Linked DNA regions of Tribolium castaneum. The protein of the gene in region 1 interacts with the protein of each later gene in a biochemical or structural test. Links are inferred from orthologs where the notes say so. Each region holds a gene or a part of one and is shown on either strand. Other genes may lie near its edges. The genes, in order: Mer, beta-Spec and mahj.

Region 1 (11,582 bases):
TGCTCAAAAACTGGCGCACCAACTCAATGGTATGTGGTAGAGAACTAGTTACATATGAAGGTAAAAATAGTAAAAAAATTCTTTGTATTAAATTTATTGATGAATAACGGATTTTAAATAAATGATATGTGGCAACGTTGTCTAACAGTCATGATCGCAATAGCATTGCCGTCTCGAGACGGCAATGGCAATAGAGTTTGATCAACAATAAAAATAAATTATTTTTACAACAGTTTCCTAGGAAATAATTACCAGTGTTGGCACATCTAGAGTTCCTTTATTGGGAGAGTTGGGACACTGAACGTCAAACCGAGCCAATTTTGTATTATGTGGATAAGGTATATATTTCTATCCTTTTTTATTAAAATTTTTGTTATTAACTTATGTCAGAGGTTTATGTCGAAATTAATTTCAAGGTTATAATTTTTGTCAAATGCATAAAATGACATAATTTTACGTCAAATTTAACCAGGGACGTAGAAAACGTAGAAATTTTGGGATTGCTATTTAAAAAATGAAAATAATTGAATACCTACCAATATTAATGTTCACATTTCTGAAATTTTTCGATACTTATTTTAATATTAAATACATAACTTAAAACATACTTCAATGCTAAAAATGCTTTTCTTTCAGTCACAATTTTTAGTTAAACATCTCGTCCCAAAAATTGGTCATCAAGAACCCTTCATATTTCCTGTCGTCTTTTTAAATTTTCAAAAAAATTATATTAAAGGTGTTCTCGTATGAAAAACGTAACAAAATCGTGAATTCCCAATAACTTTATAATTTGAAACATAATCTAAAGTTCACGTAGATGCTAAAGGCGGCCAAGCAGCGACAGGTTCAGCTTTCCTAAAAATTAGAACCAATTTTGGGTTCAAGTACTTACATATTTTATAAATGCATAGACAAATTCCCAAAATCTCATAGATTTTGTACATAACATTATTTAGACAATCCACTTTTCCAAATGCTTGTTAATAATAAACGTAAAACTTGGCAGGAAAGGTTCAATTTCTCTCTCTTTCATCGACGATTACCATTTCTTAAAGTTAAGGAAAAAATGTTTATGATGAAGAGTTTAGACGTAAAATTCTTGTACTTACAAAAAAATCTCTTTTAAAATTTGGAGTTCATATAAAAAAAACAGTGAATTGACGACGACTGCCAGTCTAAACCATTTCTAAACGCAGTTAGTCGACGAAAAATGGGAACATTTTTTAACAATTTAATTTGACTTTTCGGCAAATTTAAAGTGTAACACCACTGATTTCTATCCCAATTTGTTTTTTTACACATTCCAACCGACGTAAATAAAACAAAATTTCGAAAATTGACATTCAGTGTCCCAACTCTCCCAATATAGGAACTCTAGGCACATCTACACATTGCGATTTTTTTGATGAATTTTAATTTTTTTAAATTAAAAAACTGCTAAAGTCTGTTAGAAAATTTAAAAATAATTATTCATCGTTTAGTTAGGAAACGATTACTTAGTGCGAAACATAAGAATCTTAAAAAATAATGAAAACTGAATGAAACTGATCTACACATGCTTCTCAACAACGTACCACTCAGTTGATGCGCCAGTTTTTAAGCACCCTGTATTTGTATTACACTGGACAACAAATTTTATTTGTTTTGTTTTTTTTTTAAATAAATTATATCCAAATTAATTTTATTTTATGTACAGCGTGCTCAAAAACTGGCGCACCAACTCAATGGTGTGTGGTAGAAAAGTGGTTACATATAAAGGTAAAAATAGTAAAAAATTCTTTGTATTAAAGTTATTGATAAATAACAAATTTTAGGTAAATGATATGTGGCAACGTTGTCTAACAGTCATGATCGCAATAGAATTTGAGCAACAATAAAAATAAATTATTTTTGCAACGGTTCCCTAGGAAATAATTCCCAGTGTTGGCACATCCACACATTGTGATTTTTTGGATAAATTTTAATTTTTTTAAATTAAAAAAACTGCTAAAATCTGATAGTAAATTTAAAAATAATTATTCATCGTTTTGTTACGGAACGATTACCTGGTATGAAACATAAAAACATAAAAAATAATGAAAACTAAAGAAGTTAACACAATAAGTTTGTAGCTCCAGATTTTTTAAAATATAACTTTAGGAATTTTTTCAACATTTTTCCCGTAATCTGCACTTGCTTCTCAATAACGTACCACTGAGTTGGTGCGCCAGTTTTTGAGCACCCTGTATAGTGGATGATAACAAAAAAATATGTGTTTGTACACGTCAGGTTTTGTAATTTTTAATTTTTACTTGCCTTTAATATTGATTGTCAGAACATTCTAAAAGGTTTTGGTGCAAAATAAGTAACAATTAATAATCTTTTGTATGATGCGTTCGAGCACGACATAGATATAGAAAATAGATATATAGATATAGATTTAGCAAACGCAATAGATATGCTCTTTTGATTTAAACAACTTCTTAAACATGTTTAAATGTGTCAATTAATATGACTTTTATTGTTTATTTATAGTAATAAAAGAAAATTCGCTTATATACAGTGAAATTATGAGTTTTCTAAAAATATTTAATATTTTGTTTCAGAAACCTGACGTGATGGCCAATTTTTGAGTTCGTTTTTAGAATCTGCATAAAAATGTACATAAGAGACACGTGCTAGATATTAGAAAAAAAAGTGTTCTTTGGAATGTGCAATAAGAAATAATGTAAAATAAAGAATACAATTTTATTTTTGTTAGTTTAATAACATATTTATTTTCCTACTACAAAATTGTGCACATTGTGGTAATTTCATCTAAAATACGTGAAAAATACTGCACTCATTCGCTGTAGAACAACTTCATAATGAAAAATCAGAGAAAAAACATTTTTATGATTGAACATCGTTTTATTATGGAGAATCTTCAATACGGACACTTAAGATTGTCACTCCAATGAACTCCTTCCAAGTTAATTCACATAACAGGACAGTTCTTAATATTATACAGAGTGTATTAGAAATACCTGTTTTAGTTTTAACACGTAATAAAACTCATGAAATACAACTTTTCTATATAACATTTTGCAAAATTCTTCTTTATAATTTTTAATGTTTTCCTCCATTTTCGGTCAGTGTTTAATAATTAGTTTGTCCGTTTCTGGCACAACGAAAATAGTTGGGCTCTAACTTTTGTTGGGTTCACGTTTCAGTATGTTATCTTTTTCCAAATTTTAAATAAATTTGCAAATTTTTTATTAAAAGATTACAAATAGAATAGTATATTACGAGTTTTATAAGACGCATGCACAGATTTGGAGTAAGTGCGACATCAGTATGTTTTTTTTATGTTATATCCATGAAAATTGGTATTTAAGCTTTTGGTTAAAGATCAAAAACAAATGTTTTAGGATTTTTGGAAATTCCATCCCTAAGACTCGTTATTTCAGTTAAATTTAAAGTCAAAATCCTCAGAGTCAAGTTAATTCGAAGTTGGAAATATGTTTTTTGATTTTAATCTGAAGTTTATATTTAATTCGACATTGTTTAAAAACCGTTTAAAAACGAACTAAATCGATCGAAACAGCCCACTTTTTGAGTCGATTTAGCAAAATCAAAAACGTTCTTCCAAAACGTTAAAAAAACAAAAATTAATACAGATTTCGACATAATTTACTGCTCTTTGTTTTTTCTGTTTTATACATTTTTATGTAAAGGTATTTTTAAAGGCCCTAAAATAACTTATTAGAATTATTATTATAAAACAACAAAATCATTTTCGATCAAATTTGAGCTGTTTTATTAATATTGCGAAAAAAACTGGGTTTTTCAATTAAAAATTCAGATAAACGTTTGAAAGAGGCAAAAAGATAGTAATTTTCTATCTAAATTAATGATTTTTCAGCTTTAAATCTTGCAAAAAAACAAGTAGAAAATCCATTCGCAAGGGGGTTTCCTATAAAAATCCGTAATTTTTGTAAGTAGAACTTGAAAAAACAATGAAACACCATTTTCATTTTTAACCGAAAACTCAAATAACGATTTTCATGGGTATAACTTAAAAAAAATACAGATTTTTATACAAAATTTAACCCCCTTGGGGGTGGAATTCTTATAAAGCACAAAACCTCCTTAAAGAATGATTTTTCAAAACAATCATCTACTGTTCAATTTAATCAATTAACTTATTACAGCTAATAAAACATAATTAATTACAATGTAAATGAAAAAAAGTAATGCGATTACGTTGTAATTAGATTATTGATTTAACTACATTATAATCTGTTTATGCCCAACTCTGTAAGAGGGGCTTTCGGCCAATCAAAACTTACCAGAGCTTCATTAGCCAATCGGATTTCCTCCTGGTACTGGAGCAGGCGCTGTTCCATATTGGCCCTTTCACGCTCCGCCTCCTCTCTCAATTGTTTTTCACGTGCCAGACGATTTCGTTCAATCTGCCGACGTTGTTTCTCTTCTTTGGCGGCGGCTTTCATTTGTTGGAGTTCCATAGAATCGGGTTTACGCCTCCGCATGAATAAATCATGGTTACCCATGCACAAATCAAGAATCTGAAACATTTGTTTTAACCACGCCCCCTCAGACCACACCCACTTACCAATTTATTCATTCTAACTTTTTGGCTAAAGAAGACAAAATTTGGGGAATTCTTATCGACCGGTTTGATAATAAATTTTTTATCGTCAAAACTAATGTGTCGTATTTCGGCCCATGTGAACGTCGTTTTTGGTTGTAGTTTATTTTCCTTTTCGTAGATGTTTAATCCTAGAGGTGTTACACCTAACCACAACTCAGTCTCTTTTTTATTCATTATCGGAAAATAATTAACACCGTACATGTCCAAGTCTTGTGCGATTTTTAAATACTCCATCTCGGCTTCGTCTCGCGACATACCCCTGTGATCTGAGTACCACACTCTTATCCGCTCCTCCCACATGTCTAGAGTCATCTGATACTGGTCGATGACTCTTTGGGGCAACAAATCCTCGTTCGCTAACATTCCCGGTTTGTACGTATCTAGGTCAAAGTCTCCAAACTGGGGGCTGTTAGACAGGGGGAACATTAACCTCAAACTATTTACCTTGGCTTGGACCGCGTAACTGGCTAGCAGGACGGACGCCTCAGGGGGGCAGTACACATCCATAGAGAGAATAGCTTGCTTAACTTGGAGAAAAAAATAGTGTTTTGTTACCTCTTGAACCAGCTCTTCGGCCACTTCTTCGGGGTAGAATTTCGCGAAAAACATGAACGACACCGTACTGTGGGGGTCCTTCTGGATGCTCTGGTCTTGGACTGAAACACACACATGATTTTGGGGGCCCTCTCAGCACCAGACCCACCTTTCTTGTCCAATTTTAACCAATTGATAAACCCTTTTGAATCTTCGTATTGCAAACCGAAATACCAAGTCTCGCGTAACCCGATTGTGCGGCACACTAGCTCGAATAAATCCCTGCCGGTGGCTCGCCACTACAATGCGAAAATTATTCACAGTTTGGAGAATTGAGACGGTAAACATACTTGTAAGTTGAACTCCAATTCGGCGTCCAATGTGCACACTTTCACGGGGAAACTCTTCTCGGATTTCTTTTTGCGAAATGGAGACATTTTTTCTAACATAATCCTCGCTTTTGTAAAACCTATCGCATTATTCAACCGTAAAATAACAACAACAAATAAGGCACAAACATCTCGGTTATGGCATTGACAGATGTCAATTCGGAATACCAACACAATGGCGGGAAATTACTAGGACTTTCGGGCGATGGGGCCCCAGGAAAGGGCTCAAGTGGGCGGTTTCAATCTATATCTTAATGTTTGTAACGCTAAATGTTATATAATGCTCCTGTCGGTTTTATTTTAGTTTAATCACAAAAGTCTAGAGGAAAATTTGGCCGGTAAAACAGATCTCCGATAAGCTTCTTGTCTTTTGAATAAATTGTAAAACCAAAAATTGCTTTTCTTGCTTTTTAATAAAAATTTAATCAGGAATAGGTCTTGATAATTTTATTTTTGACTATGAGGCTTAATTTTTGTTCGGTTTCATTGAGTATTTAGCTCAAAAACGTGTTTGAAATAAAAGTATAGCTTTTTTCGATTCAGTTCGGTGATTTCATGGTTCACGAAATAATTGCATTTCTGGGTGAAAAAGTGGAAAAATTAACTCATTTTCGATCAAATTCAGAACATGTTTAACTCGATTTACGCTAATATCGAAAAAAAAAACGCGTTTTATCTCAAAACTTGCTTAAACTCTCAAAAAATGTGACAAATTATAATATTTGTGTTAATTTTTCGATTTATTTTTGAGGAAATTTCTCAAAACCATTGGGTTTTTGTTTGAAAACGTGTAATATCATGTGAAAACCCAATCGTTTAGCTCAAAAACATGCTTAAACACTTTAAAAATGCGATCATTGTGTTCATTTTTTTAATTTTTCCGTATATTTTTGAAAAAATTTCTTAAAACAATTTGGTATTTGTTTGAATAACGTGTAATACATGCGAAAGGCCGAATTTTTTGCCCAAACACGTGCTTATGCGCTCGAAAAATGCGCTATTTGTGTTAATTTTTTTAATTTTTGAGGAAATTTCTCAAAACTACTGGATTTTTGTTTAAACAAAGTGTAATAATATCATGCGAACGGCCGAGTTTTTAAGTCATAAACGTGCTTAAACGCTCAAAATATGTGATACTTGTGTTCATTTTTAAATTAATTTTTGAAGAAATTTCTCAAAACAGTTGGGTTTCTTTTTGAACAACGTATAATCTCGAGAAAATCCGAGTTTTTATCTTGAAAAAATGCTCAAAAATTCAGCGTTTTTTGGATAATTTTTAAAAATTAATTGATTTTTAGTTTACAAACATGCATAATACAACAATAACACCATTTCCGATTAATTTGGGCAATTTTTTGGTTTTATTTGACGACTTTTCACGAAATAATTGGCCTTATAGACGCGGAAGTGGTAAAATAAATTTATTTTCGATCAAATATTGTGAATTTTTAGTTTAGTTTAACAGACAGGGTGTGGCGTCTAAACCCACATTAGAAGTAATGGTAGTTCTAATAATGATAGTCATCTGAAAATTTGTATATCACCATAACCTCTAAGGTCCTGCTCAATGAAGATATTTTCAAGATGGCGACACTTCCGGTTATACCGGAAGTCGCTATCAACTTCTTTATTTTAAATGGAAAACTATATTTTTTAATGCATTTTTGAATTACTAGAGTTATTCTGAGGTAGTTTTTAAAAGCTTTCCCTATAACTAAATTTAGTCGTTTACGAAATATTTACGGTCTTTACATTTTTTTGAATTTGCACTTTCCAGTTCAAAAATCAAAATATCTTAAAAACGGTAAAGAGAAAGCTGGTAAAAAGTCCCTTAAAATAACTTAACTAATCCAAAAACGCAGTGAAAAACATAGTTTTCCATTTAAAATGAGAAAGTTGATAGCGACTTCTGGTAAAAACGGAAGTGCTGCCATCTTAAAAATATTTAGATTGAGCAGAACTCAAAGGATTGTGGCTGAGTACCAACTTCTATACTTCTAATGTGGAGTTTAGACGGAACAGCCTGTATAATATTGTTTTTGTTTCGAAAAGTTGCTTTAACGCCTGAAAATCCGCTATGTTTTTTAATTTTTTACTTTTGACGAAATTGCACTAAAAATTATGGTTTTGATTGGAAATTTTACTGAAAAGTATTGTAAACATGAATGTAATTTTTGATTCTATTTTGTGATTAACTAAAGAAGTTTTCTGAGTGGCTACCATAAATGAGTACAAATAATTGCGAAAAAAAGCGCCAGCTTTTTTCAGCTTCCTTCAGTATGATATAATTTCCATTAAACTTTGGTTACTTATTTGATTAGTAGAATAAAGGTCACTGAAAATTTGCTAAAAAATGGAAAAGACAGAGAATACACTTGATAAGATAAAAGCTATACTTATTTACATTTAATTCCATAAGTAAATAAATAATAAATAATTATACAACAGTGTTGTAACTAATTAATTAATTATTAGTTGAACAAGTGTTTAAATATTATAGACCCCTTATTCTTGTGAATCATTTTCAAGTGACATAACATAACACCTCATTAATTTTGATTACAATTAATTAAATGACAATAGTTATAGAATTATTCAAATTATCGTTATCAACTCTCCTGATACGGTCCTGTCCTTCTGACGTAACTCGATAAATAAACATTAATTCTATTTTAAAAATTCTGGCATTTCAACATGTCTTCTCAACAACACTTCACCAGCATTGAAAAAATCCTATCGAAACTCCCCCCTGATGATTACCAAAACATCCGAAACGTGCTATACGGCAAACCGACAAGGTAAGCGTCCAATCAGAACGACCAAAATTAAAACAAACTACAGCAAACTCGATTTATCGGATGCCGAAACAAAAGCAAACGATTATGACCTTGAGCTGGTCTCTTGTCGCTTCGAGGCCTCACCTGAACAGCTAAGACCACCGAAAATCGTCCGTGTTGGCATTTTCCAACACAAACTACCCCTTCCTCCCAACACTCCCATCAAGGAGATGCGAGACGGGCTTTACAAATTGGCCCAAAACGCAATCGAGACGGCTGCGAAAGGAGGAGTCAATATATTTTGTTTCCAGGAGGCTTGGAGTAAGTCCGAAACAAAATATTCCCTCGACTGTCTTTTATTTTTTCAAAGATATGCCGTTTGCGTTCTGCACGCGCGAAAAACAACCGTGGTGCGAATACGCAGAGGTGGCCGAGTTCGGGCCTACTACGATTTTTTTGCAACAAGTAAAATATTAGGCCAGGTCAGGGCACACAATAAAGCGATTGTTTTAGTTGGCGAAACGTTACAACATGGTTGTAATTTCTCCAATTTTGGAACGTGACGAAGTGCATGGCCAAACGATTTGGAACACGGCCGTTGTTATTGACAATTATGGCGATTTTTTGGGGAAACACCGCAAAAATCACATACCCAGGGTTGGGGATTTTAACGAATCGACTTACTATTTTGAGGGAAATACCGGGCACCCTGTTTTCCAGGTGAAGTTGTGCATACCGGGTGGCCACTTTTTCTGGGAAAAGTCAATTGTGCCCTTATTTGTAAAGAAAACGCAAAATTGCTTTCGCAGCTTTGTTGGGCGTGACTTAGACTATATTTCCCCAATTGTTAGGTTTATACAGAGTGTTTCATTAAAGAAATATTTTAGACGGAATTTGGCAAAATCGCTATAAATATCTGTTACGGGCGCCACCACCCGCTCAATTGGTTAATGTTTGGCCTAAATGGTGCCGAAATCGTCTTCAATCCGTCGGCAACTGTTGGTAACTTAAGCGAGCCTTTGTGGGGCATCGAGGCCCGAAATGCGGCCATTGCCAATAGCTACTTCACGTGTGCTATTAATCGCGTTGGCACTGAGATTTTCGAAACTGAATTCACTTCCGGTGATGGCAAACCCGCCCATAAAGAGTTCGGACATTTCTATGGCTCAAGTTACATAGCCGCCCCCGATGGCTCAAGATCACAAGTAATTATTTAATTTAAAAAATAGTTGTTCACAGTTAATTGTAGGGATTATCTCGGGACAAAACCGGGTTATTGATAGCCGAACTGGACTTGAATCTGTGTCGGCAAGTTAGGGACCATTGGAGTTTCCAGGTAATAAATAAAACCACGGTTTGTTTCAATTTTTTAACAAAATCATTACAGATGACGCAAAGATTGGATATGTATGCCGAACTCTTGGCTAAAGTCGTTCAGCCCGATTTTAAACCACAAATTATTAAGAAATAATTCAATCACAACGCAAAATCTTTGGCAAATGATAATAAATAATCGATTTTTCTGAGACAAGTTTTAATTTTATTTTTCGATTCTAGTTTCACCTCTGGGAAACAATCATTCGGGAAATTCTTACTAAACGATGATTTCTTTTCCGTTTTTTTCACACTGGCCGTGTTGAGTAGTCGATGCAAGTCCGAAAGGGCACACAATACGTAAAAATTTCGTTCCGTTGCATTTGGACCTTCGAGAATTTTATCCAAATCGTCTCGTAATAATTTAAAGTTTTCGCCATCGGCCACAATCCAATCACTCTAAAAAATCTAGTAAAAATAAAGTATGTAACTCGGGAAAGTTACCACCATTATCGACTCATATTCGACCGATTTGACCGCGCTTTCGTAGTCGTCGAAATTCTGATTGTTTTTCAACGTGAGAGAAATTGTAACAACACAGCTAATCACCTCCTTGGCGAAGTCGTGATGTTCACCATTGAAGTAACGAGTGGCAAAAGCGTACGCTGCCAGGACGTTGATCAAATTATATTTGACGCAATCGGCCGGATTTTTTTTCTAAAAATTACTCAAACTTACAAAACAATAGTAAACAGATTATTAGAAATAAAAATGAGACTGAACATTTGTAAGTGCCTTGCATAAGTAACTATATATTTACCGAAATTTCTCGAAAATCACGAATTTTTATCAACTGGGGACATTCAGATTTGTACAGTTGGCAAGACTCGATTTCTTCCACATTTGGGGATTTATGGGACCACCAAGGTTCCCACGATGGGATTAATTTTGTCACATCCTCGGACCTGAAACACAAAATCACAGTTTTCTTCATCTTTCTTATTTAATAGTTTTTTGATTTTATTTAATTACAAAAATATGATACAGCAGAAAATTTAAATGTGACATGGAGTGCAATAATGGTATAATTTGACAATAGCTTGAAAAGCGAATAGAAAAATACATTATTTTTAACCTTTCTCGATCATTTTAGTATGTTTTTGTTTACTTAAGAAACGCACTGCTCCGTTAAAAAGTCAAAAAATCACAAAGTACTAAAAATGTTACTTAACATTTTAACGTGTGTTTAATCATGTTTTTGCAAAAATTTTACAATCATTCTAGCTGGTTTCACCTGATTTAATTCGCTGCTGAACCAAAAACTCATTTACTTTGCAAAATTTAATTAAACTCGGTTGATAAAACAAACGACTGCAAGTTCTTTTTTACCTTATGAAAAATAAAAATGTTTGAAAAAAAATTGTGTTCACCTATGAATTACTGTTCGGTTAGTAGTTCTTTTTTTAAGTCGAACACAAGATCTCTAAAGAACTTTTTTAACTTATTAACAAGTTTCCAACTTAAATAAAAATATTGAAAGGGCCCCAAGTTTAGAAACGCGACGAATTCCTGTTGCTTATCTTTGATCTTTGGTCAATTTCTCCCAGACTTTAATGTAATGTGTGTTTAATATTTATAATTGTCTGGAATTACAAAATAGTATTGATGTCTTAAACTCGTGGTTTAATGGATTAGAGTTGAACACCAAAAAATGTAAAAAGATCACATTTGCTAGAAATACTAATTTAATTAACTTTTATTATAATATAAATGGTACCGTACTTGAAACGGGCAATAAAATTGCGGACTTAGGCATAGTTATGGATAATGGTTTGACGTTTACACCTCATATTTAAGTTCTGTGTATTCAGATAAGATGAACGAATAAATTATTATTATTATTATTATTCAACTAACTAATAGTGCATTAAAAAC
Region 2 (10,834 bases), on another chromosome or scaffold:
AGGACATCTTTACAGTCGTGGAAGAACTTGTGCAATTCGCGTGATGCTGCAAGCATTTGTGTGCGAGTTTCGATCAATTCCAGTAGGTCCTGCCATGCCTCGTTCAATCCGTCCTTCCATTCGGCGATCGTGGCCGAGTCGGAATGGCCCGCCTCGATCAAACGGTCGGCATTATCGGTAACTGCAGCGACTCGTTCCCTGCCAATTGACTCAGTATCGCGGGCAAACTCCTTAAAACGCTCCCACAACAAAGTAACATGGTCATAATCCTGGCCCAGTTCATGTGACGAAGCTACCACTTCCCGGTCAGCAATCCATTGCTCCAAATCCTCGACATCTCGGTGCAAAAGGAACAATTTCAGGGCTTCGTCCAACTTCCCTCGTCTTTCACCGGCAAGGTCCTTCAACCCAGCGTACAACTTGTCGAGTTGTGACTGCTTCACTGCGACTTGTTCCGCCAGAGGATGTCCTTCCGCCGCCAAAGCGCGAACCGTTTCGCCCAAAGCTCGGATCGTATCGGCGTAATCTTCAACCGCTGCTTCCAAACTCTCGTGTTTTTTCATCAAATTGCGGGCGGAAGTCTCGTCCTTGCCCCGGTCTTCGACCATCAAATACAGTTCTTGCTCGCTCATCCAGCTCTCAGCCTCGTTGGCGTCGAAGAGGTATTGCTGGGCGCGTTCGTTTCGCAATAGATTCTCCCGGCGTTTCTCCACAGCGTCTTTCAATTCTTGCCAAGCTTTGTGCAGCTCGCTGATCAAGTGTCCAAACTCGACCGAATCCTCGTGTCCTTCATCGATTAGTTTTTGGCCGTTGTTGCAAACCGTGTTAATTCTAGGTTCGTGGTTTTCAATTTCGGTTCGTAACGATTGATTTTTCTTCTCCAACATGTGGACTTGGAATAGACTATTGCCGTATTCGGTCGACGAGGCTTGTGGCATCTTTTCAGCGATCCACAAGAGTTCGTCTTCGACGTCGCGTCGGAATTGTAAAGCTTCCTTCTTCTTTTCCAGAACTCTTTGACGCTCGAGGAGTGGTTGTTTGAGTTGTTGGAACCGTTGTTCCACTTGAGATTTTTTCACTTTGATTTCTTCCAATTTGGGGGCCGGTGTTGTCGTTTCGAGGTGTTTGGTTTGCTTTTCTAGTTCGTCCACTTGACGGGCTTTCACTGCCATTTGTGTTTCGATCATTTGTTGTTTCTGCATGAGGATGTTGACCGAAGCGAGATCAGCGCCAGTGTCGTCGCTTTCGATTTGTTTTTCGAGATCGTTCATCCATGAGTCGATATCGTCGCAGGTTTGGTGAATGAGTACTTCGCGATTAGCGTCAAACAAGCGTTCGCCCTTTTCTTTCGTCGTCTGTTCCAAAACATCAAATTGGTCGATGAGTTCTTCAATTTTCGGCTTAATTTCACTCGCAAACTCTGGTTTTTCCTTAGCCAAGTCTTCGCCAGTCTTTTGTAAATTAAGTAGTCGCTCTTTATTTGCGGCAATTTCGGCTTCGAAAGCTTGATGACGGGTCCACTTCGAGTGAACTGTTTTGGCCGATCGGTAGGTTTCGTCCTGAGCTGTGATGTGTTTTTCCTGGATCCATTCTCCCAATTCGTCGCAATCTCGCAGGAATTGTTGCAATTCTAATTGATCTCTCAGTGTTTCCATTAATGCTAAAGCTCTCTCTTTTATTGCTAATCTGCGTTGGTCAATATTGTCAGCGCGTTTTGCGATTTTATCCGAAGCGAAATGCCCTTCGTCGATGAGACGATTCGTAAACTGAATAACTGCGTTGAACTTGTCGTCGTTTGCTTCCATGGACGTAAGGAATGATTCGTGCTTTTTCAATTGATTGTCGGCCTGTTCGAGCGTCGTAGGAGTCTCGATTTTGGACAAAGTGTGCTCTTGTTGGTTGAGAATCACCTCAGCTTGTCGCGCGTCGCGATCAAGCAACTGCAAGCTAAGAGACTGCGATAGGAGTTTCTGCCGGTTCTCCCACATTTGGTGGATTTCGTCCCAACCGTCCTTCAAAGCCTTCAGTCTTTCTCTCAGGAACATGTACTGAGTGTCGTCTTGGGTGCTGGGATCGGCAGTGATTTTCTCCCCATATTCCATCATCTTAGTGTAATCGTCGGTATAGTTGTGAATCTCTTCGCAAATGCTTTGATGCTGTGACAGGAGATTTTCCGCTTCGGCCAACGAATTGGGCGTATCTTCGGACGCAATATCGGTTTGGGTCTTGGTAAGCCAGGCTTGGAAGTGGTCAAGATCGCGCAAGAAGCGGTGCAAATCGCCAGCTTCCTCCAATTTCGAATCGCGTTCTTTCAACATTTGGGTCAGTCGTTCCCATATGATCTGTATCTGAACGATTCTTTCCCTGATAACGGCTGCTTCCTCCGGGTGTTCTGTCTCGATACTGGACGCTTCCTTTTCCAAAGAAGTGAGCTTGGCTTGGATGGCGGCTAAATCGCGCTCCATGCCGGACAAACGTCGTTGAAGTGTCATAATACCAGTCAGATCCATCTCCAAACTATCAGTACTTTGTAGGATCCGAATTTTATCTTCGATCCATGTCGTGGTTTCACGACATTCGATATGGAATGTTTGCACGCCGTGTGCTGAGTTAAGTTCATCTCGTTTCGCTTCTGCTTTTTCGCGCAATTCCGCCCATTTCTGGTTGAGTTGGTTCTGTCTAGCTGTGATCTGTTCAGAGTTGGGATGTTCGACGTGTAACAGCTGACGTGCGAGTTGGTTTACTACAGCAACTCTCGAAGCATTTGCGTTCATCTCTTTCTCGAAACCATCATAGCGATGTTTCATAATCTCGACATCTTCAATATCACGTGCCGGTACCATGGTCTGCAACATCCTGTCCTTCTCGCTGATCCATTGCTCGACTCCGTCACTCTCCGACAGTAATTTATACAAGGAGAGTGCGTCCAACAAACGTTGCTTTCTGAGTTTGGCCAATTCGAGCAGTTCTTTATACCGGTTATCGATCGAAGCCAATCTTTGCGAGACTTCTGGCGAGTCGGCAACTTCTGGTCCCAACTGTTGAGCTTGCTGGTGTAAGGCTTCGATGGTGCTGGCATAATTCTTAAGTTCTTCAGTAACGTCCTTATGTTTCTTAAGCAACGACTGTGCATTGCCTTCATCCCGGCCAACGTCTTCGCTCGACACCAGTCGCAAAGTATCCAGCATCCAAATATCGACATCGTCAGCATCTGCAAAGAGTTGGTGGTAATCGACGGCATCCTCCAATCGCTTCCTGCGATAAGCCGCCAAGTCTAGCAAATGTTTCCAAGCCCCGCGGATTTCCGTCAATCTTTCTTGCACTTTTTCTGCACCAAAATGCCCGGAATTGACCAATTCCTCCCCAATTCCCACAACAGCGTCCAACTGGGGTTCGTGCCCTGCGATTTCATTCTCCAAAGCTTTGTGTTTGCTTAGGAGCAGGTTAACAGTGGTGAGGTCGTGCCCGATGTCGGCCGCTGAAACAATCTGTTCCTTTTCCTTGATCCAGTTTTCTTCATCGGCCATGTCCCAGTAGAACTGCCACAATTTGCGGCTTTCCTCAAGTCTTGATCGGCGATCCACAGCCAAGCGAACCAACTCAGCATACGCATCTTCGAGTTGTTGCACGCGTTCCAGTACTAGGGCTGGGTCACACGGTCTGTAACCTTCCTCACTTTCCACGTCCAGGAAACGTTGCGATTGATTTGCCACAGCTTTGACCCGATCTCCAAGTATGTTAATATCGGCTTCGAGTAAGTTATGTTTTTGGAGCAAGTCTTCAACACCCATGAGATGTTTGCCGTAGTCGTCCGTCAAAAGACGTGCTTTCAATTCCTCCATGGCATCGAGAATGTGGAGCATTTCTTGGAAGTTCTGTTGTAGTTGTAGGGACAATTCCAATCGGTGTCTACGTGCTCTAAGCAATTCCAGGAGGTAATTCCAAAGGCGTAGGACGTTTTCTTTTCGTGCGTTAATCCTCTCCATGTCGTGATAATTCTCAGCTTCGAGTTCCCCAGCCACTGAGACAACCGCTTGTACTCGTTCTTCGTAGGCGAGAATATCGGTTTCGATAGCTTCGTGTTTCTTGGCTGCGGCTTCAACCGCGGTCAAGTCGTGGCCGAAATTATCTTGCGAGACCAATCTCTGGTTTTCGCTCAACCAGGTTTCCCTCATGCTGGCTTTTCGGTTGAAACGAGCGGCCAATTGTTCGAGTTTTTCCTGTCGGATCAGTTCTTCACGCAGGGAGAGTTCTCGTTCGTGTTCGGCTTTTTCCAATCGTTCCCAGGCTTTGTTAATGTCGGAAATCATTTTGCCTTCTTTCGGAGTGTAAGGTCGTTGATTGTTAGCTCTCATCTTGGATTGTAGTGTGAAAAGAAGGATTTCCAAGTTGCCTTTCTCGACGAATTTCGGTGGTTTCTCGACGGTGCGATAATTATTGAACTGGCCTAATTGCTGTTGCACGCCCACAAGGCTATTGGCGAATTGTCTCTCCCCTAAGGCTTTGATAGTGGCTTCGATCCACGCCAACAAATCACTCGTTAGTGACTCGTATTCTTTAATCATTCGGTCGTTTTCCATCGCAATCCCGACGACTTTACCGATACGTTTTCCTTGGACCGTCTCCTGTTTCATCTTACTGAAGTAGTGGTAATAAGTAACGACATATGTGATGATTGATTTTTCGTCGGGTTGCTCCACGAACACGTCTTCAGCGTCGAGAAGTTTCGTCAATCCCAGTTTATCTTCAGCCACGTTAAACGCATTATTTAAATTGTGGATGGGGTTCGATTTGGACAATTTCTCGAACTGTATCAAATCCGGACGATGTTTGTGGATAAGTGCGTTGAAAGCTAGACCATCCCTCCACGAAGTGGTGAAATTTCGAACGTTGACGTTATTATAGCCGGCTGTTTTCATCTGACACCACAGCAACAGTGCATCTTTGGCCGACTTGGTCTCCTGGTTGTCCGTCTCTTCGATCGTGATGTCTTGAATTTGGAATCGGAGAATGATGGTCCAGATCAAACCCAACGAAAGTCGGGGGTTTCCGTCCACAATATCGTGCGATCCCATATTTTCTAAGTGAACACGTTGCTCTCGGAGAAACTGGAGAGCTTTATCGACGTTTTCCAGGCAGTGAATTCGCATTTTTCCTTTGGTTGGACGAGGCAGACGTTCGCCCGATAATACTTCCAATAATTTAATCAAATTTTTGCCGTCTCGCATGTCGGTGTAGAGATCGGTAATGCGGGAGTTCACCCGCACCAGGTGAGAGTTCACCCATTTCTGGAAGGTCTTTTTCTGGACGCTTTCTCTTTCATCTGTGTAAAAAAATTACTAAAAGTTACAAACTGAGTGTATTTACCCCGCAATTCTAAAACTATTTTGTCGTAATATTTATCCACCTCCAATTCCATTTTTCTGTTAACTAAATGTATGGTGAAAACACACTGAACTTGACACAGGAAATGTTTGGTTTTGATAAAATACATTAGATAAGAGTGCCACAAAAATTGAGAGTTGCATCGTAAACTTACCCGCTAAAGCTTTAATGCGAGATCGTTCGAAAAGTCGGGAAGATGAATTGCCACCATCGTACTCATAGTCCTCGACAATTTCTTGCTGCAAGGTGGGATCCCACCTCACTATACTGATATCGGTGGTCATTCTGTTGACTCACCAGCAAAGCTGGCTACCTAGAAAAAAGGCACATTATTTAGGCCGCTGTGTCACTAAACCGTTTATTTTTAGCACTGACGAATTTGATGCAAAATAGTTAATGCAGTAAAAGATTTAAATTAACTGTCGTAACTAATAAAGAAATTATTCTTCCCACACAGACTCTCTTGTGGGTGTTTCGTAGTGAGAAAGACCTTCAACTAACACAACTAACATTGTTCTAAGCAACAAAGACACTCTTATATTTCCCCAAATCGGCATCACTCACTTATTCACCCTGAAATATTGATTAACAATCCCAACTTGATGGGTTCCTAATTTGTGTTTGTTAAAAATAGCTTTAGGTAAGTCCATGCAAAATTAATGAAACAGAAAAGCGAAAACTAATAAAAATGTAATTACGGCCACATTCGGTGTTATCGACCAAACACTTGTTCACACAGTACGCGAGTACATCTTCACTTGCACGTAATACGAATCAACTGAATGTAAAAGTACACAGCTGACGTGAAAAAGGTTGAAAACCTGAATCAGGAACTATTTGGGTAAATCGATTTCTCGGCGACGTCAGACACACGACGATGGCAGCCAGTTCTGGCGTCGCGACGCCTGACCTAGCCGAACCACTCGCTAGCCGGACTGCAGCGTCTGGTTCGATCTGTAGTGCGGTAAAACTGCCGGTGGCGGCGCAAAATTCGCAAGCGACGACCTCGACTGAAGCTGGACGAATTGGGTCAAGTTGGGATTGAATATCGAAGATTTAGGAAACTGATCTGTCATTTTAGAGCTTCAGTGAATGTCCGCAAACATTGATTGGCTTTGTGTCAATAAAAACATCTTCGCTTCGACTAATTTTTTCAGATCGTGATCACAGATTATTACATAACACCAGATTTAATTTGATTTGCCATTGTTTGATAAGATGACTACAGTAACAAAAATAAGTGAATATGTTACGAAAACATGTACAGAAAATACAATCGAGGATAAACCGCCATAAAACAAAAGTGAATGATGATTTCATCAAATAGGCCATATTTGGGCTACTTCCTGACAAATGACGAACGTAACTCATATTTAGTTACAAGTAATGAATGGGTTCTTGCGCCCTAAAATGACAAAAAACGCACATTTGGGGACGTGAATGATGTGGTACAATTACCTATTTTTCTCGCAATACATTACCTCGAGATAATTCACGATGATGTAACAAACACTATGACATAGTTAACATTGCCAGCCAGTGACGATGCCAATTACCTTCAATCAAACCGAATATTACATACTCACAGTGGGTACAAATAGAAGGGTGCTTGACCTTTACCACAGTAATAATAGCCATTACGGCTACTTTACTATTTTAATCAACTAATTAGATAAGAGCTATTGGATTCATGCCACTACTTTCTAATCAAGGTTAACACCCTGGCCTTTGCACAAATTAAAACAGATGCCTGTACATTCAAACACCAAAAATCGGCATGTGCGGGCAAAGTGCTCAACGAACTGTAATACCTGAATGTAATAAAAAATTCACGCCATCCTCACACCCTATTCAAGCATTTCCATTCATCACTAATATTACGCTAGTACGTAATTTATCGTACGTAAAAACTGAAACAAAACTCTGATACGTAACGTTGAGGCATCTTCAAACATGTATACCTTAATAGGTAAGTAATTAATAACCTAATTGAATTAAGCATCAACGTTGCTCCATAAACGAGACGCCAGACACTAATTAAACCAATATTGACACAAATTACCTACTTTCGAGCCAATTTGTGTTCGGAAAATAGTAACTTTTTGTCAAGAAATTCCCCATTCCAAGTAGTAAAACAAGATATATTTGCTTGGTAAAAATTTATCATCAACGAATTTGAACCGTTATAAGACCGATCAAAAACCCATGCACGTAAAATCTTACAGACAACTGTGTTTACGGTACATGTTCCACCCACAAGTTAGTTTATTTGTTTACATAACATTAATGCTTCTGGTTAGGATTAGATGTATTTAAAATTGCTTCTGGATTAGATCATCTTAAACAACACATGCTTATTATTAAAAATGGTACAAGTATTTCAGAATAAATCGCGGAACCTTGCAAATAATTTTCGAACTTACAGCACAATGAAAATTAAGAAGGTTATTTCAATTATAAGTCACAAAACTGTTTGCCCATGAAGTATTTCCTAGTCATCTACTAAACTAAAAAAGACGAAATGTAAATTAGTTTTTATTTAACACATTAATGTAACCACCACGTCAGAACATGACAAAATTAATATTTATTTGACCTAAAAACATACTGGCGTGATAACAGCACCAATTAGCAAATTACTTAAATCGTGGTAATTGATGAAGTTTATTAATTAAAATAGAAATTACATTAATTCAGTTCTTATAAAACAAAAAGTCTGTGCACAAATATTCGTTTCACATTTCTGTACACAAAATGCGTAACCTTCTAAAGGCACGTCTTCCATTAAAATCAATAATTTCCCTCTAAAAGCAGTAACGGCGGAAACATACATAATGCTTCCTGTAAGTAATCATTAATATCGGGTGCTTGTGGAATACGTAAGCACCAATAAAACTTCTTTCTGCCTTAATAAAGTTATTAAAAATAACAACGAACAGAGTTGAATAAGACTTATTTTTTAAATTGGACCAATTGGTAATGTTACAAATAATTATGTGTATATATGTGAAGATGAGCAATTGGTTTACCTATTCTGTAATAAATGTTAATTATTTCGTTGAGTGATTTTAAACTAAACAGACAATATTATGTTCTTTGGGAGTGCCAGTAGTTTACTTAAATTTTACATAGCTGCTGATTGATTTAGAAACGGCTCCAATTCAAAATTAAGTAAAATTTTATATAAGTAAAGGTAAAATAATTAAGAAGTGTTGTTTTCACAATATGATTGGCTGTTACTTAGCTACAACTTAGCAGTCTTTAAAGTAAAACGTACTATTTTTACCATAAGGTGAATCAAAAAAACTAAGTTTCGTTTGCCTAAGTTATTTATTTTTTGAAAAAAAGCTAACTGATGAAATATTGATTACGTAGTCGCCTTAAAAACTAATTTGCGTTTTTGAACTATTTTTTAAATAACATTATCTTTAATAAAAACATTTTTGTCGTAAAAACTGTTCATGATAAGTTGACATTGAAAATAAAACAATATTTCATTCTCAAAACATGAGGACACTACTATCTGACTTAAAACTGTAGAAAAAGTGGCAACAACGCATGTACATTTTTTAGGATCAAATAGATCACAAATTTAAACTGATGTACTTCCGTGTGATTCTGCGTTAAATTTAATGCCAAGAAAACTCACGAATCTAAAGAGAAAACCAATTGCGAAAAGTGACAGTTGTTTTTAGTTTTGAAACAGATATTATACTATTATTATTTATCTCTCACGAAGAATTTAAAAAAATGCATGGTTCAATATATTTTACTGACCCTGTATGTATATTTCAATATTTGCTAGGTAAGGAAGTGTGACGCAATTTGTTTATGATTATATGTAATCCTATCAGAAAACAGGTGTGTTGTGGTAGATCATGGAATTAAGCATTTCAAGTTTGGATTAAATTACGAAAACAAGAGCTACTTCAATTTTTTTTTTGGTAGCAGTGTTTTTTAACAGTGTTATTTCAATTTAAAGTCAGTTTGTCAAACTGACAAATATTATTGAATGACGTTTATATCATTCAGCAAGTTATTTGACAAGACAATGCCAAATTATACGAAAAACTGATAATATAGTAAAACATAATTCAAATTTAAACTAATCAATGTTACAATCTTTTGTAAAACGCATACAAGAGAGTACAAGTACAAGTACACCTAAGTCCTTTTAAAGTCTTTAAAGACTATCATTAGGCGATCATAATTTTGTCAGAAATATGACGTTTTTAAACGCTCATTAGTTAGATTAAATTAAAAGCAAATGCGTAAGCACGAGCAATAAGTGAACTTTGTCTTTTTTCATGTCTCATTGAAGTAAAAATGTGTGATTTTTATACACAAGGCAGCTAATTAACACAGTCTGAACTAACAGTCAGACTATGGAAACTAGAACAGTCATATTTACTCAGTTACTACACAAACATTATTATTGAACTGTGATAAAACGTTTAAAAAATGTGCAGGTTTAAAAGGAAAGAGTTGTAGCGATAAGAACACAATCCTACTACACAAACACTTGCACTATTATTATGTAACAACTTGATGATTACGTAAAAATTTAAATTTAATACTATTTACAACAAATATGACTCATGCACGCATCACAGATATTAATAGACACCGAAAGACACAAGAGTTTATAGGCCATCATTAGCTTTATCAAATAATGTGACATTCAGTCATTTACCAATTTATTTTGGGATTATGACCATACTCTTGACCTGGAAAAAGTATGATCAAAAGAAGCTACATAATATTACCTAAAGATAATATTGAAATTTAACAAAATTAATAAATTTGTAGGGCGGCTATTATTACAGTTGACCTGTCCCTTAAGGGCAGTAACCCGGCACTGGGTTACATTTGTAAACCACCTCCAAGTTCACTGACATAGCAACAAATGCATTTTGAACTTTGAATCAACGACAAAAGGCCAATTCGCTCAACAACCAGAATAAAGGTATCATCACTGAAAGTGAAAAAAGCCAGTCAATACAGTTCTACTGAATTATTTAACAGTTTAGTAAAGTTTGGGTTACACCTATTCGGCCATTTTAAGAGACTTGGGTTAAGATTTATCGACATTATTGGTAACCGCAGCAACCGGCAAAAAACGATGACTTACCTGTTATCGTTACTACTTAAATATCGTCGGTCTCACTGATAAACTTACATTCATAAGTTAAAAAACTGTTATTTTTATAAAATCACCACCTCGCGAACACAAACGCCCTTCATGACGGCTATTAACGAGACTCGTTTACGCATGCGCATAATTACGATAACAACACGCCCAACGCATAGTAGGCTGGTTGCGTAGAGAATAGATGGCGCTAGGTTGGATGCCCTTGATTTCGCTTGATTACTTAATTGTAACTTCCTTTGTGGCAGGGAAGGGCCACGTGGGGTTGTAGTAAATTATAAATAGTCAAAACCAGATTTG
Region 3 (10,965 bases), on another chromosome or scaffold:
CAATGAATTACAAGGAAAAAAATTCCGCTCTGCCTCCCGCACAATAAACAAATTTTGCTTCCGTCAAGTGAACGTGCCCATATTATGAACACCGAAAGTGAGTTGTTTTAATTTAAGATGCGCCTCCGGTTCTTCATTCTACTTCTGCTTCAAGTCATGTGCGAGGCTGATAATAAGGTAAGTCTGCAAAATTGCCCCGACTTTAATTGGCCTCGCAATGCACGCGCTGCAATTTTTCCCAAGTGTAATAACAGAAACAGCAATCACATGCGATAATTGCGAACGCCACTGGCAGACAAAAAACGCAAGAATCAATATTTAAATAGTCCGCAGGTAGCTAACCATTTAAAAATAGCGTTCAAATTAATTCGAGACAATTGGGATGAATGGTCCATGGGTCACTGCTCCGGCAATTCATTCACGAAATTGAAATCGAACCCGCCTTTTGATGGGTTCGATTGTGTGTGATCTGGGTCAAATGCCAACAGCGTGACAATATTATTTCATGGATTTTTTTGGGCGCGAGACTAATTTAAAACCAGGAGTTACTGACCTATGCTTTGTTTGACCTTTAGTTTGAGCCCATCTGGGTCCCTGGTCGTAAAGTTTCAAATTAAGTAGACTTACAATGAGACAACTATTTTTGGACTAGGGTAAGACGATCGGTGGCAATAGCACCTTGAACCTGCTTGAACCCAGAAAGTCGAGATTAAATGCGAACGCCGTTGTAAATATTAATTGTTGTGAATAAATATTTACGTCATCAAGGGGAGAAGTCTCACTGGGACACGACCCTGTCCCCAGCTCGTGATGAATAGGTGTTTGTTCGAGATTATTTAATTAATTGTTGTTTTTGTCCTTACTGACCAACATCGATAAAAGTTCACATTTCAGGAACGTTTTCCATGTCAAAGCGAACAAATATTTATTTACTGACACTTGTACGTGCCAGAAAGTTTTTAATTTATTTATTGCGACTTAATAACCAATAAAAAATATTTTGTATACAGCAATAATTCACTTTGCCACATAAATAAATATTTTGAAATAGAATACGTTTAATAATTACAAAATCGCCTACGATTGTAATTTGATTATTTTCTCACTTTATAGAGGATGCGATGTGTAAATAATTTGGTCTTGAAATTTAAATTTAGCCAAGTCAAGTTTACAATAATAGTATTTCAGGAAGAAAAATTTTAATGATCGCGCTACAAATACGAGCAATTATGAAAAATTCCTTTTAAATGGTTGCTCTAATAAATCTGCTTGGTACTAAAATAAAACCGAAAGCGTCCATAAATCTGGGTGTCATCGCGAACTCAGGGCCGTATTGAGTATTATCACGTAATCAACCTAATCACAGCTCCATTTAATTATTACAAAAATGAAACAGAACAATAGGTTTTTAACTGGGTCAAGTCACCAAAATATACGTTGTTTGTAACTATAGATCAATCTCAAATGCGGTGTTACCGTTTTTTTATCAAAATTCGTTTATTATTTACTTTTATTTTTTTAAACTTGAACTTTGTGTCTTCCGTTCTCCGCATTATTAAAATAAATAAGTGTGTAAAAATGCGTGTTACGCCAAACTTAACCTGAAATAAATAAATCACCAAATCCTGAATGAGCTCTTATCCCGCCTTTAATTATTTGTTTAGTCTAAATAAAACAAGGGCCTTTTTGAGCCTCTCCCCTTAATTGCCCCAATATAAATTGTCCCAACGCGCGCCAAACTGTGCGAAACCAAAAATAAATCCGGAAATGACTCCAATTTTCCCACACTTCCGCCTTAAAACCTTGCACAACTGCAATTGAATCGATTTAGCAGTCTCCAAATTGGGTCACGCAAGCCATATTTTCAGACCCATCATCACGACCTCCAAATTTCCGAAGCGCGCTACTCGCCTTGGTCCCCCTGGAGCCGTTGCATCGACTGCATTCAGAGAAGGATCAAGAAGTGTATTTCCCCCAAATGCGAGGATTCCCGCATTTACGAAGAAAAACCCTGCGGGAAGAAACGCTGCAAGAGGAAAGCGCGCCAGAAAAAACAATTCCGGGTCGTACAATTGAACGAAGTATGTTTGGGGGATTCACAAGTGTGTTTTTTAAGACGGATTCATTGTCTTAGGATAGTAGCCATTTGCTGCGTCAAGCGCCTTCTCGCATTTGGAGCAAATGGTCCAACTGGTCGCCCTGTTCGGAGAATTGCAGGACGCAGAGGATCAGGATTTGCAGGAAGCCGGGACGCTGCAGGAAGAAGCAGCAGGAGCAGACGGCCTACTGCTACCACGACAATTCCATGTGTGAAAACTACGTTCTGAACTTGTTGGATAACCAAGACGCATACGGTGCGTAAGGAATTATCCACGAATAGAAAACGGGTCCCTTTTTGTTCAAATATTTGCGGTTCAATAAATAAATAATCATAAAGCTGGTTAGTAAATAATGATAAAAATATATAAACACAGCGTTGGGCGAAAATATACCTAGAACCGAGCGATTTTTGCCAAAACTATTTGCTCTAGCAAAAAGATTATTAATACAATATCAAGTCCCTTAAAAATATGAAGGATAAAATTAGTTAATTTTAATTATAACAAAACCAATTTTGAATCACCCTCTAAGTATAGTAATCATTACGGACTAATGTACTACATTACCACTTGCTTTTTTCTAGTCCAGGTAAAAAAAAACGTTCTAGACCTAATAATTTCTGCTCCAAAAGCATTGTGCGCTGATTAAGAAGTTTCAAATTAGGCAGTTTTCCAAAATTAGAGTTGTGGTCACCTCATTAAAGCGGTTTCTGCATATGATTTCGTTTCCTTTTAAAGAAAGCAACCGCTACTACCACTACAACAACTTGGACCGCCGCCTCCCGCAGCGCCGCCGCTGTGGGCAGCCTTTCCGCAAATCGCGAATGCTGAAAATCATCGGCGGCACCGAATCGAAGAAGTACAAGTGGCCTTGGCACGTTGCCATTTTAAACAAATACTACGTAGGTATCCCGAAATGGGTCAATTTCAACGCTTGATAACCTCGGCTATAAATTTTAGGAAGTGTTCTGCGGAGGCACTCTCATAGGCCCACGTTGGGTCCTCACAGCTAGTCATTGCATACGTCCGATTTTACGCGTAAGACTGAACGAACATGACCTAAGGGCTCGAGATGGACGCGAGCTCGAGATGACTGTTCACACGATTTTCCAGCATCCGAAGTTCAACCACAAAACGGTGGATAATGACATTGCCCTACTGCAACTACCAAGGAGTGTTAATCTCCCCATCGCTTGCCTGCCCAAGACCAGGCCCAGGCCCTCGGAGGTTTGCTCCGTCATGGGCTGGGGCAAGGTCAGGACCAGCGACACCTACGGCACCCACACGCTGCACGAGGCCAAGGTGACTGCTATAATTTTTCTCCAAATTTCCAAAAGTTTTTTAATATACTATTTTTCCAGCTTCCTATTGTGGCGGCGAGCGTCTGCCGCCGTTCCTACCGCCACTTCCTCATCACCCCCAACATGTTATGTGCTGGTTGGTCGTCAGGGGAGGCCGACACTTGCGCCGGGGACAGTGGCGGGGGGCTCATGTGCCCCTTCAAACGGCGTTCAAGACTCGCATACAGCGTCCAAGGCATCACAAGTTTTGGGGACGGCTGTGGTTTGAAAAACAAGTACGGCATTTACACCACTGTGTTTAACTACCTAAAGTGGATCTATTACGTGATGGACCACTACTCATAATTCAGTATTCGCAAATTTAACACTTTTATAGCTATTTTTGACATTAACTGAGCAATAAACTTGATTTGTAAAAAGTGATGGTTTTATTGACCCGTCCGTCGTAATTGTGCTGACGCAAGGGGACAATGTCCTAGGATTTTTGGCACGAAATCAAACGCTTGTTCCTTTGAAATTGTATTTATTTATGAAATATAATACACAATGTTCAACATAATTCCAAACTCGGCTCACATTTAAAAACACACTTGACACCACAAGCTGGAAAATCATCAAATGCCGTTTTCCTTATAAAAAACAGACACACGCCCACTCATCCAATTAACTATTTTCGAATTGCTATCACATTTAAACCTTATTTTACGGTTCGCTCAAAAATCGAACATATCATCCGTGAACGAATCATCAGAGCCAGTCGACGTAGTCGTCCAACTATCAGACTCACTATCGAAGAAATTATCGTCCTCATCATTGTCATCATCATTGTTGGCGTTATTATCGTTGTTGTCGTTATTCCCGCCCACGTTGAGCATCAATCGATCTAGAAAATCAACATCGACTGCAAAACATTATATTACTTTTGCCACTTTTCTGCAATTACCATCATTATCGGAACCGTCATCGTCACTCCCATCCATATCATCATCCTCCTCTTCCTCGTCCTCTTCATCCTGCATCAAAAAATAAACAAAAACGCAACCACAACTTAAACTTTTTACTTGTTCATCCTCATCGTCTCGCTTCCTCCCGACATCATAGATCCGCACCACGGACTCTTGAACCGACTGGTAAACCCCCTGATTCTCCACAATCACAATTTGCGTATCGAACCGATTAACCGCCAAATCGTAGATGTTTTTCTTAACGTCAATAGTAGCAATACTCGAGTAATCGATCGCATCCACTGTTTTAAAACTCGAATCGAATGTCGAGTCACCATTATCCAATTCCTGTTCCATCGAAATGGCATAAATCGCACTATTGACCGGTGAAAAAACGGCAGTACGTTGATTCAAAACTGGCACTGTTTTCAACAAATGAAAAGTTCGCACATCCCAAACCTCAGTATTTGATACAATCTACAATTAACTATGTATTTCCCTAAGCAAAAAAAGCGAAAGTACCTCTAAGCCGTTAGGGTGGAACACCCCACTTTGGGTCTGATTCAACTTATCCAACTTGTGAATCTGTTTGCCCGAATTGACATCGAAAAGCACACCATCTGATAAAACCAAATCATCGAACGGGCTAAATGTGGCTTTATTTCTAGTGTATTGGTTACTATCTGTAGGAACTAAACGCAAGATTGATTGGCCCGTGACGGCGTCGTAAATCTAATTGAAAAAATTATAATTTGCCAAACTGTGAAGTGTTACTCACTGTTGCAACTTCAAGTTTAGTCGCCACAATCCGCTCCTGTGTCACTTTACTAAACTCAACATGTTCTTCATCGTCCAGCGCAAACCTAAACCACAAGTTAGACGCTAAATTCGCAGAACCGAACATTTCTGGTCATCGAGTGGTCAAATCAGACCACCAACTGTATGGTTTTATACAAACGGTTAAAAAAATCGCTTTGCGAGTTGAATTAATTTTTTAGACAATTGTTTTTGATATTTTCGAGTTTCGCAAAAAAATTTTAAGTTCGACTTAAAGTAAAAAACTTACTTCATCTCGGAGTTCCTTATGGCCCAGAGTGCGGACAGAGGCCGCCCCCACGTGGAACTCGTCAACAGAAACTCCCCACTCCTGTTAGGCTCCAAATGAACGATATAATTATCGTGCGTTTGAAACATAAACTCTTCATTTCCAGTATGCAGATTAAAAATTCGTATATCACCACTGTAATCACCCACGATTATGCTTTTATCACCCGGTAAAAATTTCGCACAAGTGAAGAAATCGCCATCGGACGACGACCGAATCGTTTGAACTGGACAAAATCTCGAATGAATAAATTTCCGGTCCATAGACTTGGACTGATACCCAATAGCACGTCGCGCACACCTCACCACAAAATTATTGGCTGAGGCTATCTTTGGTTTAGGGTCTGGGCATTTATGTGGACTAGAAAACACCATCAGAAACACAACCAATCATAGGAGTTTAAACTTACATAAAGAGATTGAATTTGGGACAGTTGGCCATGGGGTTTTTACATAACGCATGCTGATTGGTTAAATACTCGGTTATGATCGAATCGAGCGTGACTCGGGGCTGTTCGGGTGGATTCGTCGGTTCGTCAAGCAAGCTCTGACTCGGCACCCTAACTACAACATCGCTATTCGTTTGTTTCTGTAATCGGGAGTTTTGGACCGGTGGTGTCGCGACCACTTGATTTTGGTGTTTCCTGAAATTTTTTCTTAGCAAAAAATATGATAATTATCTACAATGACGACCATACTTTATTAATTTAATAGCAGGGGAAGTACAGTTGGAACTATTAATAAACGATGTCTCCTCCTTTTGCACTGGTGACTGCGGTATTGTGCGGTGTTGCATTGGAGTGAAATTTAACTTAAGCTAAGACATTTGTTACACTTAATTATAGCTTTGGTGAATTGCTACTTACCCTAGATGGTGTTAGAGTGGACGAGTATCGGAATTTGGTTGGTTGATTTGTTGAAATGGGCGTGACTGAGTTTCCCAAATTTGCTTCCTTCACTAACATAGAGGCCGTTTCTGGACAACCTTTCGTAATTAAATGTTGGTGGATGAGTTGTAACAATTGCCGATCATTGAATTGAATTTTAGTCTGAGCCACAACGTTAGCTCTATGTATGTTGGCTAAAGAAACTTCCAAGTCATTTCCCCGATGTTTCGTTTTCCCCGAAAGTCGTTCCAAAAGTTCAAGTGCATATTTTTGGAAAGTCACATGTTCTTGGCGTTTTTCTTGCAAAATTGGGTCCCTCATTAAATCTGCAATTAAGTCAGTTGTTACCCCACTCGGATTCGCCTCGTATCAAGACTTACTCTGCAGTTGTCCGCTCGTAAAAAGCGGTAATTTTGACACGATCTGTCGGACAGTTTCCGACCGTGCTAAGCCGGCCAATGCTTTACAAGCCAAAGTTCGTATACAGTCCGCATCAGTGATTGGTGTTTTAATATTCATTAATTGCAACAAAACCATAATACCACTATTAGACCTGACACAATCCCAAACTCTCTGAATCAATTCTTCGCTACTTTTGAGTTTAATTTTCTTAATTGGGCTGTTAACCGTGGCCGAATATCGGGTTAAAGTACCACCAACCTAACAAAAAAATCAAACAAACGTCTGGAAACGGTAAAAAACGTACCCTATTTATGGGGGCACACACACAATTGACAATGACTCGAAGCGCAGCCTTTTGTACATCAGCATCGGCCACTATTTCACCCTCAGCGGCCCCCAAAATAATATTAATCCCTACAGAAGAAAAAAACAATAAAAAATCCCAAAACTGTGATTTTCTCGTACCAACTGTGGCACTCTCCTCTGGCAATTCCACCCTATCACAAAATAACAATTGAACTTTAGGCATCACACACGCAATAGCCAACGTATCCAAAGCCGACCTGACCGTCTCAGCCCTCCCACTATAATTCCACTCATACGCAAACGCGATTATTTTCAACAAGAGTGTGATTCCCCCTAATTTGAGTAACTGATCAACTGGCGTCCAATGGCACCGAAACGGCATATATTGCAACAACGTTTCGACGTTCTGTTGCACCTCTTCAGGCGATGACTTGTACGGTTTGTAGCTCGGCTGCGCCGGTAAAGGCGGCTGTGCCATTTTTTCGTTAAGTCTAAGTTGTGATCTTTTAATTGGTTCTACTTTTAGGTTTAGATGAGCTTCAAGGTAACGACGGTATGCAACACAAACGTGGCGAACGATTTGACGAGCGGCGCACTCTTGATCTTCGTTTAGTTGAGTCGTATCGGTGTCCGGCAGTAAAATTGATAAAGTAGAAATCTGTACATATAACTCTAGCAAACAATTTTTTTTACTTGGGATAAACTTACCACATTGTGTAACTTTCGTAACCCATCATGAGCATCAAATTCCTCCAAAATCACTTTGAATTGAAACGTGAGACCGAAAAACATTATAGCATGACATCGGCCCGAATCGTGTGAGCATTCCAAAAGCCATAAAGCATACCTAAGATTTTTTTTAAATTATGAGTTTTAATTGATTTTACAAACTGTAAGGTATAACTTAGACTTACTTGACTAAACTGGTGATCATGTATTTCGGAAGCAGACAAACCCTCTCCATTGCCTCCTCACAATACCCCAAATAGTACAAACAAATCGAGACCCCAGTGGCTGATATTGACGGCCTTGGCACCTCCAGAAGTGCCTCAAGACCATCCATTTGAATAAACTCAATCGAGAATTTTTTGTGGCATAAAAGAGCAGCAAGATATTTCAAGGCTTCAAATGCAAGTCTTGCTTCTTTAGTCGCTCGGACATTCACATACTTTAAGACCAAACTAAGAGCGTCATTTTCGAAAACATGACTCAAAAACTCCTGATATTCACCCAACGGTGTCAAATAACGTAAAATGAGTATTTGACGCGTTGCTATAGTTGGCGGAAAAATTTGCACGGTTCCAATCATAAAACTTTCAAGCTCTGCCCACGACGAATTGCTCGTTTCGTTAAATAGGAAGGGTTTTTGAGGAGAGCCTTCATCAGCTTCGCTTGAATTGTGCTCCAGCTTTAGTTTTTTGCGTTTTTGGCCGCTTTCCGAATCTGATAACTGTATTAAACGTGAGACCATATCACGAGGAGGAAAAGGCGCGCTTACCTCACTAGTGTTAATCACATCAGTGTTTTCTTTATTAAGTGTTGTTTTCGAATTTGGAATAACTCCATTCTCGCGGGCTGTAAGAATAATTATTGAAGGGTAAAATACAATAGGGTGTCGTTACGTACGCCTTTTAATACCAGAGGGTGAAACTTTTACGACACCGTCACCGCGATAAGGGGGCGACTTCATTGAAGATAAGTGTGCAAAAGGTCGAGTATTTGTCGTGGTCAAAAATTCCGAGGAATTTTGAAGCCTACGCAGTCTTTGAAGTAGTAAAGGCACAAGTCGTCCGTTTTGTTCCCTATTTTTTGGTAATTAACTGCGATAAGACCAAAGCGGAAACTTACCTAAAACGTGTGGCAATTTCTGGAATTTCCATTGCAGCAGCTAAAAGCCCCGTTGCGTAACTTTGCAGAGGTTCTATTGAATTTGTAGTCCATTTAATTAAACGGTGAATCAAATTATCCATATCGGGCTGAAACTAGTCGTTAGTTTTCCCCCCAAAAAAATAATTGACACGTACTTGAAACACCACTGATGTCTCTAAGCCAGGCATTACGTCTAGCATCAACCTACAAGCTGCAATATTCAACTGATCAACATCCTTGTCTGTGATTCCTGACCGAGAGTAGTACGTTTCTCTCAAATAATCGTTAACAAGCTGAAAAAATATTTATGTGTGTCTTTTTATGTTTTTGTGGAGAGTTAATACTTTGTTCATAAAAATATCCTTCCTAAAAAGCGCTTTTAAAATTTGGCCAAGTTTGCAGTCAGGATCAGTTCGTGAAGGGTGGCGTTCATCAAATGGGTCAGGATCCATTTTCAGGTAATTTTCAGTCTCCACCTCGCATATTTCGGCCAATCTGCCAACAAAAGGGTAAGAATTTGCCAAATTAAGGCAAGATCTACCTGGTGAGTGTCTGAATGGGGTCATAATTAGGCGCCGTATGTTCATCTTCCCAGTTTCTTATCAGAGTTGTGACTTCTGACATAACAGAAGTCGAATTGCTGTTTTCCGACATTATTGGCTCAAAACGTTATAAAATAAAGGGCATGAGGTAGTTTAACATAACCTAAAATACTTTACAGTTCCGTAATTGCAAGGTGAGATAATTAGGACACCGGGAGACTGGCAAAAACAATGCGATAATGTGAACTCTACACTTCTGGCTTGTAAAAAATCGTAATCAGTTTGATTATTTCACAAATTGGCGCAATACACATTCACAAAGCGCAAAACACAATTCTTGGCTTCCATTGAAAAATCGAGCACGTATGTTACTAAAAAAGTGCCGCCAATGGTACAAAAAAAAAACAGAGCTAAAATAAACCCTTGGGAAATTTAACGAATAGGAAATAAGCTTCGCACTATCGAAATATACACCCCCTTTGCATGTTTTAATTTTAATTTGAGGGTGGTCCCCGTTTGGCTAAAATTCCCACATTCGGTTGACCCATCAATGTTGGTACAAGCACCGTTTTTGGAAGTTTTCACGCCGATTGGTTTGGTTGGTACAATTGATATTTGGTCGATAGAAGAAAAGTCTAGCAATTTCCACGATTTTTGACCATTTTTTCACGAAAAAAGTCCAGTCAAGATGAGTGGCGATGATAATCAGACTGAGCAATTCGATTCCCTCTTCCTGTCAATAGCCCAGCACCATCCGCACGGCGCTTCGCAGGTGAGCCTCGATCTGTTTACTCTAACCTTAAAATCACGACAAAACTGTAGTTATTGGACACTTTTGTGAGTTTTCTAAGCCGCAAGACGGATTTTTTCACCGGGGGCGAGGAAGGAGCATGGGAAAAGGTAGTCCGGGGTAAAGCCAGTTCGAAAAATAATGACCTGGTTTTTAGTTAGTAATGAGCACATTTAGGAAATACGAACAAGTTAGTCGTAAGAAACACGAGACGGAGTTAAAAGAGCGTCGGGAACGTGAAGCCGCCAAAAAGAAGAAACAGCAAGAAGAGGAGAAGGTAAAACCGGCGGAAATCACCGAATTGACTGATGCTGAGGCTGAAAAGTTGCAAGCCGAGTTAGATGCTAAGAAAAGTGGGGTGAGTAATGGGGCCCCAGCTGTTGAGAAAATTGAAGAGGATGAGGATGCCTCAGAGATTGGGAAATTGAAGCCAAACAGTGGCAATGGATGTGATTTGGACAAGTACAGGTGGACGCAGACTCTCCAAGACGTTGAGGTAAGTCTTAGTTTTGTAGAAAATTTATTTGTATAATTTAATTAAAAATCAATTTACAAGATTTCCAAGGAGGTTCGGGACCTGCCTTAAAATTGTTCATAAATACTATACAATGCTGTAATGATTGCTTTTACATATCACAGTAACATCAAAAAATACTTATGGATAGCTTATGATTTAGAACAACCACAATTTTGGTCCAGTTGCTAAACCTAATTAAATAGG

The links.
Region 2: the proteins of Mer (region 1) and beta-Spec form a complex in vitro, tested with the Homo sapiens proteins (2 studies listed by BioGRID and IntAct). The link is inferred for Tribolium castaneum from reciprocal best matches to the Homo sapiens genes NF2 and SPTBN1.
Region 3: the proteins of Mer (region 1) and mahj form a complex in vitro, tested with the Homo sapiens proteins (3 studies listed by BioGRID, with this or other methods). The link is inferred for Tribolium castaneum from reciprocal best matches to the Homo sapiens genes NF2 and DCAF1.

What each region holds. Positions count from the first base shown.
Region 1 is NC_087401.1:7,788,139-7,799,720, reverse strand, and holds the start of Mer (merlin), read right to left. Parts: upstream 5,737-11,582; 5' UTR 5,617-5,736; coding exon 5,518-5,616; intron 5,467-5,517; coding exon 5,337-5,466; intron 5,290-5,336; coding exon 5,078-5,289; intron 5,033-5,077; coding exon 4,595-5,032; intron 4,548-4,594; coding exon 4,311-4,547; intron 1-4,310. Other genes in the region: pyd3 (beta-ureidopropionase), read left to right, coding at 8,251-8,354, 8,398-8,654, 8,704-8,798, 8,847-9,053, 9,221-9,538, 9,583-9,669, 9,721-9,804; zinc finger HIT domain-containing protein 2, read right to left, coding at 9,810-10,106, 10,155-10,364, 10,468-10,612. UniProt on the Homo sapiens protein: Probable regulator of the Hippo/SWH (Sav/Wts/Hpo) signaling pathway, a signaling pathway that plays a pivotal role in tumor suppression by restricting proliferation and promoting apoptosis.
Region 2 is NC_087402.1:8,228,526-8,239,359, forward strand, and holds the start of beta-Spec (spectrin beta chain), read right to left. Parts: upstream 10,675-10,834; 5' UTR 10,517-10,674; intron 5,699-10,516; 5' UTR 5,670-5,698; coding exon 5,540-5,669; intron 5,324-5,539; coding exon 1-5,323. UniProt on the Homo sapiens protein: Fodrin, which seems to be involved in secretion, interacts with calmodulin in a calcium-dependent manner and is thus candidate for the calcium-dependent movement of the cytoskeleton at the membrane.
Region 3 is NC_087398.1:979,172-990,136, forward strand, and holds mahj (protein mahjong), read right to left. Parts: upstream 9,835-10,965; 5' UTR 9,567-9,834; coding exon 9,454-9,566; intron 9,408-9,453; coding exon 9,257-9,407; intron 9,206-9,256; coding exon 9,068-9,205; intron 9,020-9,067; coding exon 8,892-9,019; intron 8,846-8,891; coding exon 8,670-8,845; intron 8,619-8,669; coding exon 8,542-8,618; intron 8,494-8,541; coding exon 7,958-8,493; intron 7,891-7,957; coding exon 7,752-7,890; intron 7,702-7,751; coding exon 7,203-7,701; intron 7,152-7,202; coding exon 7,042-7,151; intron 6,996-7,041; coding exon 6,716-6,995; intron 6,662-6,715; coding exon 6,315-6,661; intron 6,266-6,314; coding exon 6,147-6,265; intron 6,093-6,146; coding exon 5,859-6,092; intron 5,810-5,858; coding exon 5,411-5,809; intron 5,208-5,410; coding exon 5,123-5,207; intron 5,077-5,122; coding exon 4,867-5,076; intron 4,822-4,866; coding exon 4,462-4,821; intron 4,414-4,461; coding exon 4,344-4,413; intron 4,302-4,343; and 3 more. Other genes in the region: trypsin-3, read left to right, coding at 118-177, 1,869-2,081, 2,135-2,354, 2,838-3,001, 3,060-3,401, 3,461-3,745; nuclear migration protein nudC, read left to right, coding at 10,143-10,226, 10,277-10,354, 10,402-10,740. UniProt on the Homo sapiens protein: Acts both as a substrate recognition component of E3 ubiquitin-protein ligase complexes and as an atypical serine/threonine-protein kinase, playing key roles in various processes such as cell cycle, telomerase regulation and histone modification.